Linked DNA regions of Nothobranchius furzeri. The protein of the gene in region 2 purifies or fractionates together with the protein of the main gene of each other region. This does not show direct contact. Links are inferred from orthologs where the notes say so. Each region holds a gene or a part of one and is shown on either strand. Other genes may lie near its edges.

Region 1 (3,752 bases), on a different chromosome or scaffold from region 2:
TTTCTCCATTTTTCCTTTTGTGTACTGGCTCCTGTTCATGAGTCACGTTTAATTATTTGTTGTTTTTCAGTCCTTTACATCCTTTTCGCAAAAATGTACATCATTTTTAAAGCTTTGTGCGTTTTCAAAGCTGACATACCAATAAATTTCGATTGTGTATGCTTAATGACAATGCAAAAGGATCTAATTCTGACATTAACTTTTTTTTAATGTCTTTAAAAATTTCATCCCAGTGCAACAGGATTTATATGCTAGATGAGAAAGATAAATGTTTTTACTTATGTCAGCAACTTCAAAATCCTTTTTATGGCATTTTAATTTATTTGCTGAATGTATGACAGCATTTTAAAAAACATCTGCAAGGCAAATGACCTTAATGAGGACATAAACAACTGAACAGAGAAGCAGATGACCATGATTATTACAACTTCCAGGAAATTACAGTTAAACAAGAAAACTAAAAGGAACATTATGAAAAGTTCAGTTTTCCACCTAAATTCCTTGACTTGAGCTAGTTTTCATTTCTTCTTCAGTGCTGCAGAAATAACAGGGCACTGCTGTCCCTGTCCATCCTCAAAGCATTATGAGACCAGAACTCCTGCTCCACTTTTGGATCCTCCTCCTTCATTGTCTTGCGAGTTTGCTGCCGACTGGCCCTGCGCCTCTCCTTCACCCTCTCCAACCAGCCGGATATTGTAACGTTCTCTGTACTCTGTGAGCTCCTGTCCTTTTGCCTGCATCTGTGTGTTGATGGTCTCGATTATTTTGGAAATCTATTAGAACAGAGGAAGATGGATGAGAAATCAGACAAACGAAACATCCTGCAGTTGACACCTAAACGTTTATTTTTGACTTCAAAACCTATAAACAAAACTCTTTCTTGTGAAATTATGTAGATTAACTCGATGTACACTTATTGTTATTTTGGTGTTAAATAAGTGATTTAAAATGTCTCAGTTTATTCTCCTGATCATTCCTGTGACCGAAATAAATAACATTACCTTTTCTTTGTTGTTTTCTAAGGCTGGTAGAACTTCTTTTACTGTCCTTTCCACCAACACTCCTCCAACCAGACGAAAGCATTTCCTGGAAGGATCCACTTCCTTTAGGGTCTCAATTACTAAACTAAATATGAAAAGAAATAGCAAAGGTATTAAACGGTCTGTCTTTTGGATTGTTTCCCCTACAAAATCTTGTGAAACATTTGTGTCTAGAACATAAATGTAGATGATGCTCCACCAACCTGTGCTCGTTGACATCCATCTCCAGCTCAGCAGCTTTCGAAGCCATACTACGCTGCTCCTGACGCATCCTCTGAAATGTTGCTACCACCTGAAAACAAATGGAATTTGATCATTTTTTTATTAAGTATAATAAATAAATAAAAAACAGATGCTGCTACTCCTTAGTTGTCTACTGAAACCAAACTCTTAAAGTCATAACTGGTAATTAGCATATTACAATTTTGTTTAAAAGATTATTAAATAAATGTACATAATGCAGCAACTCATTAATGGTAAAGGTTTAATTTTATTATCAGATTTAATCTACAACTTTTTAGAAGTAGTGGACATAAACTTTGTTTATTTGATGGTTTTAATCACCATTTACGCAGAGTCATAGACTTTATATGTAAGAAAATAACAAAAAGGTTATGATACAATATGGCAATATTTACATTTTATTATTATTTTTGTAAAACCTGATCAATAAAGGTTTTGACACATATTTGAAGGTATTGCTCGACTCTAATGTTGCCATTATTGTTGTTAAAGGATATATTACGGACTACAGTGCACTGTATTACAGACATTACAGCAGTGATTTGTTTAATATGGTCTGAGTAATAATTTATTAGGGTTAGGTGGACAAAAATAGCTTTATGCTTAGTCACACCAAACCAAACACATTATTTCAAAACCGTAAATACATAGACTAACGTAAAAATTGTTAGAAGTAAGAGTTTGATGTAAACTCTCATAATGTCCTTATTAGACTCCTAACGGTTCCCGATGTCCAAATTTGGGTTTTGAGCCAGATGATCGCGACAGGAATGCTAATGTTAGCTTAGACTAGCTAGGGGCTATACTTTTAGTTCTGCTTTACCAAACTGAGCCAAACAACAACAGAAATAATTGTAACGACAAATGAAACCTTTTTATATAATTGAGAGTACCTGTTCAGCTGAAAGTCCGGACTGTTTTCCGCCGGCGCTGCTGCTGGACTTGCTACCCGTGCTGCTACCGTTCGCTGCCATCTTGGAAGGGTGTTGCCAATTAGGACCCTGCAGCTATCTAATGAGATTGCCTGAGTGCAAATGCGGCTTGTAAAACATCTAAATTACTTTGCAACCATCTTTTACTTTTTCATGTAAAAACTCAGAAGCAGAACCGCAAACAAAATACAACTTAATTCAACATAAAATAAAATGGCATTTGAAGGAATAATTTCTATTAACTTCCATCAACTTTGTATTGTTTTTGTTTTTTCGTGCATACGCTTTTTTATTTTATGTTTATGTTTATTTATTTGGCAGAGGCTTTTATCCAAAGTGACTTGCAATTTATAACGTATGGGGCATGTTTTGATCTGTGGGGGAAACAGGAGTACCCGGAGGAAACCCACGCATGAATGGGGAGAACACGCAACACGCAGAAAGGCCGCAGCCGAGTTTCGAACCTGCAACCTTCGTGCTGCGAGGCAACAGTGCTAACAACTGCGCCACCATGCAGCCCATTTTCCGAATCTAGCTTATTTATTAAAGCAGTTTCTGCATCGTGGAGTTTTAGACGTGTTTTTTCTCTTTCAAATATTCTTTATTTCAGCCAAAGGACATATTAATCATTAAATTAATTAATTTGCACACCGCCAAGACAAGACAAGACAGCTTTATTTGTATAGCACATTTCCTATACAAAGGTAACTTAATGTGCTTTACAGCAGCCTATAGGTAACATCAAAAGCAAAACAAAAATGAACAAAAATAACAAAAGTTTTCATGTTAGACAATAATCAGAAGCACACCGTACATAAATTAAAATCAATAATTAAAAACAAATGAAGAAATACATGTAAATTTTTAATACAAAAATACACTTAAATGCATTTATCGACATTTTTTTATTTTTATAATTCAAACGCTGTAAAGGACTGCTGAAAGCGGATTAACCTCATACAGACCTCTAGATTTTTATTTGCTCTGGGGTTTTCAGAAGATTGAACACATTAAATGTGTTGTTTGAATTTGTTTTCAAAAGCAACAATGCATGGTTTAGTGCACCTGAACTTAAATTTATTAATGTAAAACTTTGCCATAATAATCAGAATGATTACGAAAAGAGTTGTAATTGAGAAACACACAATATTATTGTCAATATGTCTTCAAAGTTGACTGAAATGCGACGTATACGTGCTGTTTATATCTTATTAGTGAACTAGACCAAACGTTTGCTTTGCAAAATAATATATTTATTCAGTCTGGTTTAAGGGTATTTTTGATAGTTATTTATAAACCTGTGTTATATTTGAATGATTATGATGCATTTATAATACTTTAAAAACAATTTTAGGAGTATAAAAACATTGCCAACTCAAAAACTATTCCACATCCTAAAACAATGGACTTTTCATTACATTTAAAGTTTTATTTTATTTTATTTATTTATTTTTGTTTTTTTGTTATTACCACATATTGTTATAAAAAGTCTCCAGTAGGTGGCAGTAGGGTGCTATATGTACATTTCTGGTCATTT
Region 2 (3,752 bases):
AACTAGAAGCCAGGAAAAAAAACAAAACAAAAAAAAAACAGACACCGGCCCATAAAAGATGAAAGGGTCGGCCCAGCGGGCAGTTGCCCGCTATGCCCTATGGTCAGTCCAGCGCTGCCTGGGAGTCTGGGGACTGAATCCTGATTGGATCATTTTTTTATATCAGCCACAGATCTCTCTGAAGAACTCAGCATTGACGGCTTCAGCAACGCTGTGCCACTCCGTGGATTTTCTCTTATTTGTTTTGCAAAAGTACTTCCTTACATTTCTCCACCTCACCCACAGGTACCTCAACTTCTGCTTGTGTGTAATAGCGCTTTCTTGATCTGCCTTGATCTACGGTCGCCATGTCATTGGCGGAGCGCTGCAACAGCCGGCTTATGTATACGCATGGGATCCACAAGGCACTTTGCATTGACTATTTATGGCAGTAAGTGGGCGTGGTGAGGGCGGGATGTGACTAAAAAGCAGCTGAGAACCTATCTAGATAGTCTCTGATTTATGAAGTTGCAATTGCGTGCAGCTGTGTGTACTCCATGTTTGATAGATCACAAACCTACTTGGCATAAGTACTTTTTTTTTGCTGAGCTTAAGTACGGTTTTAGTAAGGATTCTACACAATGTTTGATAAATGAGACCCCTGGCAGCTTGAAGGTTCTTAGCTGGTCCTAGAACTGCACTCTTCCAGACTGAGTTGTCAGATGTTTGTCCAGGAATTTGTTGGAACCACTTCTCTAGTGTGGGGGTCTCTTCAGAGCACTGTATCATTGTATCATCATTGATCTGTGTCATTATTTGGTTAATAATACTTAAAAAAGACCACTCTGTAAGTATTTGTATTCAATCTTTGTCACATGCGCACAGCATGTAATGCTGAAGTGCTACCGCCAGGTGGTGGTGTCGCAGCGGCTCTCTATTGAGCGCTGCTTTCTGACAACAGCAGAAGAAGTCAAGATGGCAGCTACCGTCATGAAGAGTCCTGTTGTAAGTTCGTTTTTAAAGGAATTTTACGTTTTCCTGTAATTAAATTCATGCGCCGCTTTAGTCGCAGATATGAATGGAAACAGCAGAGGAGTATTTGATGTCAGAAGTCACAGTTTTTGGGGTTTATTTTAACCATTCTCACCACCCGTTCATGTGAGTGAGTGGAGCTAATGTAGCTAGCACAGAGGCTACAACCACCCTGCCGGGCAGCGGCTGAAGCTGACGACGGTTTATCGGTTTGTCACTAACCAGCTCTGTGGGAGTCGACCGGACCTCAGACCCGGTGCGCTTGTGAAATGTTTAGTTATTTACAATTAACGTCATCTTCCGGTTTGCAGGCTGTTGAAGACGTGGTTGTCACGTTCGAAGATCAGCAGAAAATCAACAAATTCGCCAGAAACACGAGTCGGATGACGGAGCTCAAAAATGAAATCGAATCAAAGAAGGTGAGTTTGGTGTTTTCTGCTGAAGCATCCTCGTTTCCTGTAACCTTAACCCGATGCTGGCTTATTTCAGGTTTTTATCCAGCCTGGGTAATGTTGAGTAGATTTCTTACATCTGTCAGGAACTGATCGCAGTGTTTGTTGTTTCTGGCTGGCTAAAGGAAGATCAACATGACTTTTTAAAGAGTAAACTCAGACCTCCATCAGATGGTGGCTTTGTGGCTCAGAGGCACACTGGTAGCTCTAACCTCCAGAACGTCAGTGCCTACATGGAACAGTTGCCACTTATGCAGATCAACACCGGTGGGGTTTGACTTCGGCAGTTTCCTCTAAAATGCCAAAGTCATACACGCAAGTTGATGTAGAACCCTGTTATTTAATGTGTAAGGAGTCTGATGTGTCCTGGAAGAGCTACTGGAGCAGTCAGTAATCTATGAACTGCCCTCACCGATTGCTTTGTGTGTGGTGTCCTCTTTCAGAGAACGCTGCAGAACCTTCAGGATGCCAGCGACGACCTGATGCTGTTAGACGACGACACTCTGTTGATCCCCTACCAGATAGGTGGTGTCTTCATCAGCCACTCCCAGGAAGAAACACAAGAGATGCTAGAAGCTGCTAAAGTGAGTGGATCCACGTAACTCAGTAACTCGTTTTGCTCTTCTCTTAAAACATCAGAGAGAAAACCGAATTCAAGTCGCTGTGCAGCTCGAAGGTGTCGAAACAAACCCGGAACTATCGAGGTTAGAGCTGAGGAAAATAATCGATGCATCGGGATGCGGACATAAACGATTCTGCATCGTAGAAGAGTACGCCATCATCGATTATAGTGGAATGTAGTTTTGTTTTTTTAACAGCGGCACCAGCGCAGCGTCCAAATCTGTCAGAGTGAGCGTCCTCCACATTTACCAAGTGGTTCCGCCTTAATGTGGTTCTGCAGGGCTGAGCGCTTGAGTTCTAACCTGAGACCGAACCGGAACCGAATCAGCCCGACTAGTTCTGTTGGATTTGGGCCCTGAATTACGTCAATTGAGTGGGTTGTCACACGGCGCGCTCCGCTCGCACAGCAACTGAGAGAGGGAGAGAGAGGATCGGAGGACGCTCCTCCAAACCGATGCTCCAAACACGCGTTATTATTTTCATAATTTAATTATTATTTCTCCTGGAAGCGCTCAGTCAGACCGAGTGTTGTGATGCTGGGAGATCCGGTCTTGGGGAGGGGGCGGGGTCAATGACGGTGGCTGCAGCGTGATCGTCTTTTATTTAGGGACACGGAGAAATTAAGAGGAGAGAGATAGAAGATAGAAGTTCTTGTTCCACTTTATTCTTTTGTGTCATGATGATAATTTGATGTTAAATTCAGCTTAAAGAGAAGCTGGGAGGAAGCTTTGGTTCATTTTAAGTTACAGGAGGTCTTGTCTCCCATCTGCTCCTCCAGAGACAGCATGGACATGAGGGTCACATGGTGAGGGTCCCACAGGACAGGTTAGTGGAAAGGTTAGTTAGCTGGTTAGTGAAGGAGCTCCATCAGCTGGGTAATTTAATCCTAATCCAGCCCACAGCCTTCTGCTGGTGTTATTATCAGAAAGAATAAAACACACATCTTAAATATTATTGGAAGTGTAGAATTTGTTTTATGTTTTATTATTTTCTGCATCAAACAGAACTTGATTCATTCTCCAACATTTCAGAAATGAACCACTGGGTTCAAATGAAATTAAGTCAAACATTTCATTTGGTGTTATTTCTGACACCCTTCAACTGTGGCATAAATATCGGACTCTAGAGCTGCTCAGAGACATTAAACACTCATATATGAACCCATTATGGATTTTATTATTACGTTATGTTTCCTGTAGGTTTTCAGTACTTTTTTAGATTTTGTGAGTTTTTGCAAAGCGTGTTCTTCTCAGCCTGAGGCGTGGTGTTGAACGAGGAAACAGATGTTTTACTTTGTTAAATCTTCTTAAATGTTTAAATGTTTTGTCCTAACCTGTTGTGAATGGAGAGATTTTGAGGGACAGCAGGTTGTGTCGATTACGCTTTTGATAAAAAAAACATAAAACTAAAAAGCAATTATCTGACATCTTCCATTTATCGATGAAAACAAACTAATATGAAATAATCGTGATGCGGGATGCAGCTATCGAATATTTTTGTAATCGAGTACTCTATCGAATCTTTTATCGATTAATCGAGTACTCTAATAAATTACTCTTTTGTGTTTTTAAACCATTATATCAAATAGCATGTTATAAAATATGAAAGACCTCTTGAAATGAGAAAGCAATTGCCAGTTATTCTTCAAGTTTTATTCAAAATTAGTTT
Region 3 (3,752 bases), on a different chromosome or scaffold from region 2:
TAAATAAAACCGTGATCATGTGATCCTCAAATCTGATCTCCTTTCCAGCGTTCCTGACTGACCCGGGATCTGTTGTGTCTACTATTGTACAGGTCCGGGGCGAGCCCAGTTGGGGGGTTGGGTGTGTGGGCTGCAGGAGCCCAGTGACTGAGCTGACCACACGGGGAACTTGGTCGTTTTTCCAGGGTTTTGTCCTTTTCGTGGCCCGACCACGGTCATTTCTATTTACAGCTGTGGTCGTCTGTCGTTGTCTGAGTGTGAGACGGAGAGGCTGAGCCGTCCACTTCTTGCAGGAACTGAAAATAATTTATTATTGTGACGCTTCTCTTTCAGAAGCCGCCTGAATGTTTCAGAAGACAAAAACTGTTACGGTAAGCCAAAGAACGCGTGAAAAATGTGTCAGAGCGGCGTTTTGTGATAAAACGGGTCATCACTACTAACTCTTTCTCCACTCAGATCCAACAACTTATCACACGGAAGGATTCACAACACCTGTTGGGAGACAGCTGGTGCTTTGGGCCGACAGCTCACTGAACTAGAACCTTTAGTTCTGAAACAGACACTCAACCCTAACCCAGCACCAGATGGACTCCAGCAGCAGAAGACCACACCAGCTGTCAGCCAACAACAGGAACCTGGGCCTCAAATCCCCACAGCATCACCAGAAGGGACCGGAAAACGTTGCCTGGTCTGACGAGTCTAGACCTCCAACACCAGGATCCCAGTGTCGGTGCTTTTTCATCGAGTTCCTGATTATTTTCTTTGCAGTCAGAGTTTCTTACTGTTTGTGCCTCATAATGAAGAGAAGTGTGCTCACTAGGATGCAGTTCACGAACAACAATGTCCTGCTATGAAAATGGACCTCTCATTAAAACAATATGAAGCTGGAGGATTAGTTTCCAGTGTTGCTTTTCTAACAAACGATAAATATTTTCTAAATGAGCACACTAAACGTTTAGGAAGTGTCCGAGAGACTGCAACCAAATTAATGGTCACATTTATTATCATTATTATTATAATAACCAGAATAATAAACTCTTTAAAAAGCTTTAGCTTTCATTTAGTGCCCATAAAATAAATGTTAAATGAAGAAATGGTTCCAGGTCCATTCTGATCCGGAGACTGCTGTTTCGTGAGGATCTATGAGGTGAACAAGGGTCTGTAGTACCGGTGCTTGAATCATTAGTGTGGTGGATGGAACCGCTGATGTGTCACAACACACATACCTTCGATCTCGTTGAGACGACCGACTTTAGTTCTCAGCTCTTTGCGAAGGTGGTTTATTTCCTTGTCCAGCTGCTCTTGGTCTGCAGGTTGGAGAAACGGCTCAGACTAAATTCGACTCGTGTTAAAAACGGAAGATCTAACTTGTAAACGATAAAGGATCACCTTTCCGGATCATCTGCGTCGTTTTAGACTTGGAGAACTTGATGAACATGTTTCCAAAGCAAACCTTGACTTTTTCTGTGGACGGCAGCAGAGGCGGCCATTACTCCTTCATCACCAGGGTCACCAATAAACAACCACGAGTTTCATAATTAGCCTGAGATTATTTACAGATTACACGTGTTCCTTTAGGCAATAATAACAGACGGATGTTCCAGCTTTATGGGAACGTTTGGTTGTTGTAGCTACAAGGGTTCCTCTGTGGTGTTCTGGTGGCCTGAGTGCTGATGGATCACAAACCTTTATCCGACATCTCATGTTTCAGTGCGTTCAGCGCCTCTCTGTTGAAGTTTCTCTTCATGTCCAGGTCAACAATCTGAAACACACACACACGTTTGTTTTAAGGGAGGACATTATTAACTGGGATATCCGTGCGTGTGTGTGTGGTTTTAGAACAACAGTTTTCTTCAGATATCATGAACGCACCACCTGACTGGACCAGCTACAGAAGGACATTTGACTCTAGACAACATCGGTGTGGTGACGGGTAAATGAAGTGTTGAACCAACACCAGAACTTAGCTCTCTTGGCTCCAACCGCTAAAATCCTCATGCATAAAGCTGCTAACGCACAGAACTGCGTCTGAAAACCGCGTACGTCACATCCACTCACACTTGTTAGCATGAAGCTAGCAGCTGTAACCCGCTACGGGTCTCACCGCGTACGTCACTTCCACTCACACTTGTTAGCATGAAGCTAGCAGCTGTAACCCGCTACGGGTCTCACAGAACCAGCCTGGCCACGGTGGGTCTGGATGTGTTTACCTGTTGTTTGGCGGTGAGAACATCCTCAGCCGCCTCTTCCACTTCAGTCAAGCGCTCCAAAACACGCAGAGAAGCGTCGTCCATCTTTGAGTCTTCTTCTTCTGGGCTAACGGTGGACTACCGCCCCCTGCTGGAGAGAGGTCACCTCCGCATCCGCCGCGAAGCTTTTCACAAATGTATTTTCAGAGGTGTGACCATAGACTGTACATACTCCACATACAAATGTTTTTCTGTATTTTTGTAAATATTCTCATCATAAACTAAATAAATAGGAAAAACATTTTCAAAAGCATGTCCAAGTGGGCTCAAATTCTTCATGTATAGCAGGTGTGACCAAGTCACTGCTTTGCAAGTCATAAGTAAGTCACAAGTCTTTCCATTCAAGTCTAAAGTCAAATCCAAGTCAAAGACAACCAAGTCCAAGTCAAGTCCTTAACTTTGAATTTTCAAGTGATAATCAAGCCATCTGTCCAACTTCTATTTAATGACGATGATAATAAATTAATTCCAGAAAAAAACCTTCTTAAAGCTTCTTTTTTTTTGCTCAAACAAGCAGAAACTGAGACTGGTTATAAACAAAGCGCTGCTGCATTCAGCAGTAAATCAAACCCAGAACCAAGAATGATTTATGATTTTTGTCCATGTCGTGCCACTTCTGTGACAAAATATCAAACATTCTCAAGTCATCATCAAGTCAACAGATGCAAGCCGATTCAAGTCACAAGTCACTGGTGTTCAAGTCCAGTCAAGTCATAAGTCTTTATAGATTTTATCAAGTCAAGTCAGAAGTCATTCAAATAATGACTCAAGTCTGACTCGAGTCCAAGTCATGTGACTCGAGTCCACACCTTTGTGTATTATAGTCAAAATGTACAAGTTACTGTGCAAAACAAACAAATTACAAATCATTTTCCTTGGACCAATAGAAAAAAGTCCATCGTTCCTGAAACTTCAGCTGAATCCCTTCCAGAAACATCTGTTATTGTCACATAAAATAAGAGTGGACTCAGCATTAACGCCTTTAAACCAAGTTTCATGATGGACAGGACTTAAAAGCAACATTACACGCACGGTGGTCACGGGTGTAATGAACTGACCAGGTTTGAAAATGGACCCAAATATTCCAGAAACAGTTTTCAGACTTTCAATTTTCCACATTTTCCTCATTCAAACGCAGCAACACTCAAATAAGTACTTTTTATACTTGTGACAGTTTAAATGTTCTTGATTTAAAGAGCATAAGTTCTGATTTGGAAGCGATAACTTTTCTTTTGGAGCCAAACTTTCCCGGTACACATCCGGTGGAGGAGACTGAGCCCAGCTTGTGGGTATAGCCTCGCTCCACAGGAGCCTCAGCTGGTCCCCCATGGGCCTGGCTCACCAGGTTAGGCTACAGTAACACTTATAGATGAAATGCTTGAGGGTTTGGGAACCTTTTAATGGTTTGAAGTTTGAGTTTAAGACTACTCATGTAAATATTAAAACTGGGCCAATGATTTAGTGTGTTTAAGTGTAATAAACAGAGGTGGGCCAGTATATGAA

The links.
Region 1: the proteins of pfdn4 (region 2) and pfdn2 purify together in Homo sapiens (affinity purification with mass spectrometry; 6 studies listed by BioGRID and IntAct, counting the BioPlex papers as one, with this or other methods). This does not show direct contact. The link is inferred for Nothobranchius furzeri from reciprocal best matches to the Homo sapiens genes PFDN4 and PFDN2.
Region 3: the proteins of pfdn4 (region 2) and pdrg1 purify together in Homo sapiens (co-immunoprecipitation; 3 studies listed by BioGRID and IntAct, counting the BioPlex papers as one, with this or other methods). This does not show direct contact. The link is inferred for Nothobranchius furzeri from reciprocal best matches to the Homo sapiens genes PFDN4 and PDRG1.

The regions. Positions count from the first base shown.
Region 1 is NC_091742.1:74,820,931-74,824,682, reverse strand, and holds pfdn2 (prefoldin subunit 2), read right to left. Parts: upstream 2,480-3,752; 5' UTR 2,258-2,479; coding exon 2,177-2,257; intron 1,333-2,176; coding exon 1,244-1,332; intron 1,126-1,243; coding exon 1,002-1,125; intron 774-1,001; coding exon 582-773; 3' UTR 299-581; downstream 1-298. UniProt on the Homo sapiens protein: Binds specifically to cytosolic chaperonin (c-CPN) and transfers target proteins to it. Binds to nascent polypeptide chain and promotes folding in an environment in which there are many competing pathways for nonnative proteins.
Region 2 is NC_091755.1:40,025,331-40,029,082, reverse strand, and holds the start of pfdn4 (prefoldin subunit 4), read left to right. Parts: upstream 1-855; 5' UTR 856-870; coding exon 871-984; intron 985-1,322; coding exon 1,323-1,430; intron 1,431-1,906; coding exon 1,907-2,047; intron 2,048-3,752. UniProt on the Homo sapiens protein: Binds specifically to cytosolic chaperonin (c-CPN) and transfers target proteins to it. Binds to nascent polypeptide chain and promotes folding in an environment in which there are many competing pathways for nonnative proteins.
Region 3 is NC_091743.1:5,381,331-5,385,082, reverse strand, and holds the start of pdrg1 (p53 and DNA damage-regulated protein 1), read right to left. Parts: upstream 2,366-3,752; 5' UTR 2,295-2,365; coding exon 2,211-2,294; intron 2,072-2,210; exon of another isoform or gene 1,903-2,071; coding exon of another isoform or gene 1,873-1,902; intron 1,763-1,872; coding exon 1,687-1,762; intron 1,465-1,686; coding exon 1,390-1,464; intron 1,308-1,389; coding exon 1,227-1,307; intron 1-1,226. UniProt on the Homo sapiens protein: May play a role in chaperone-mediated protein folding.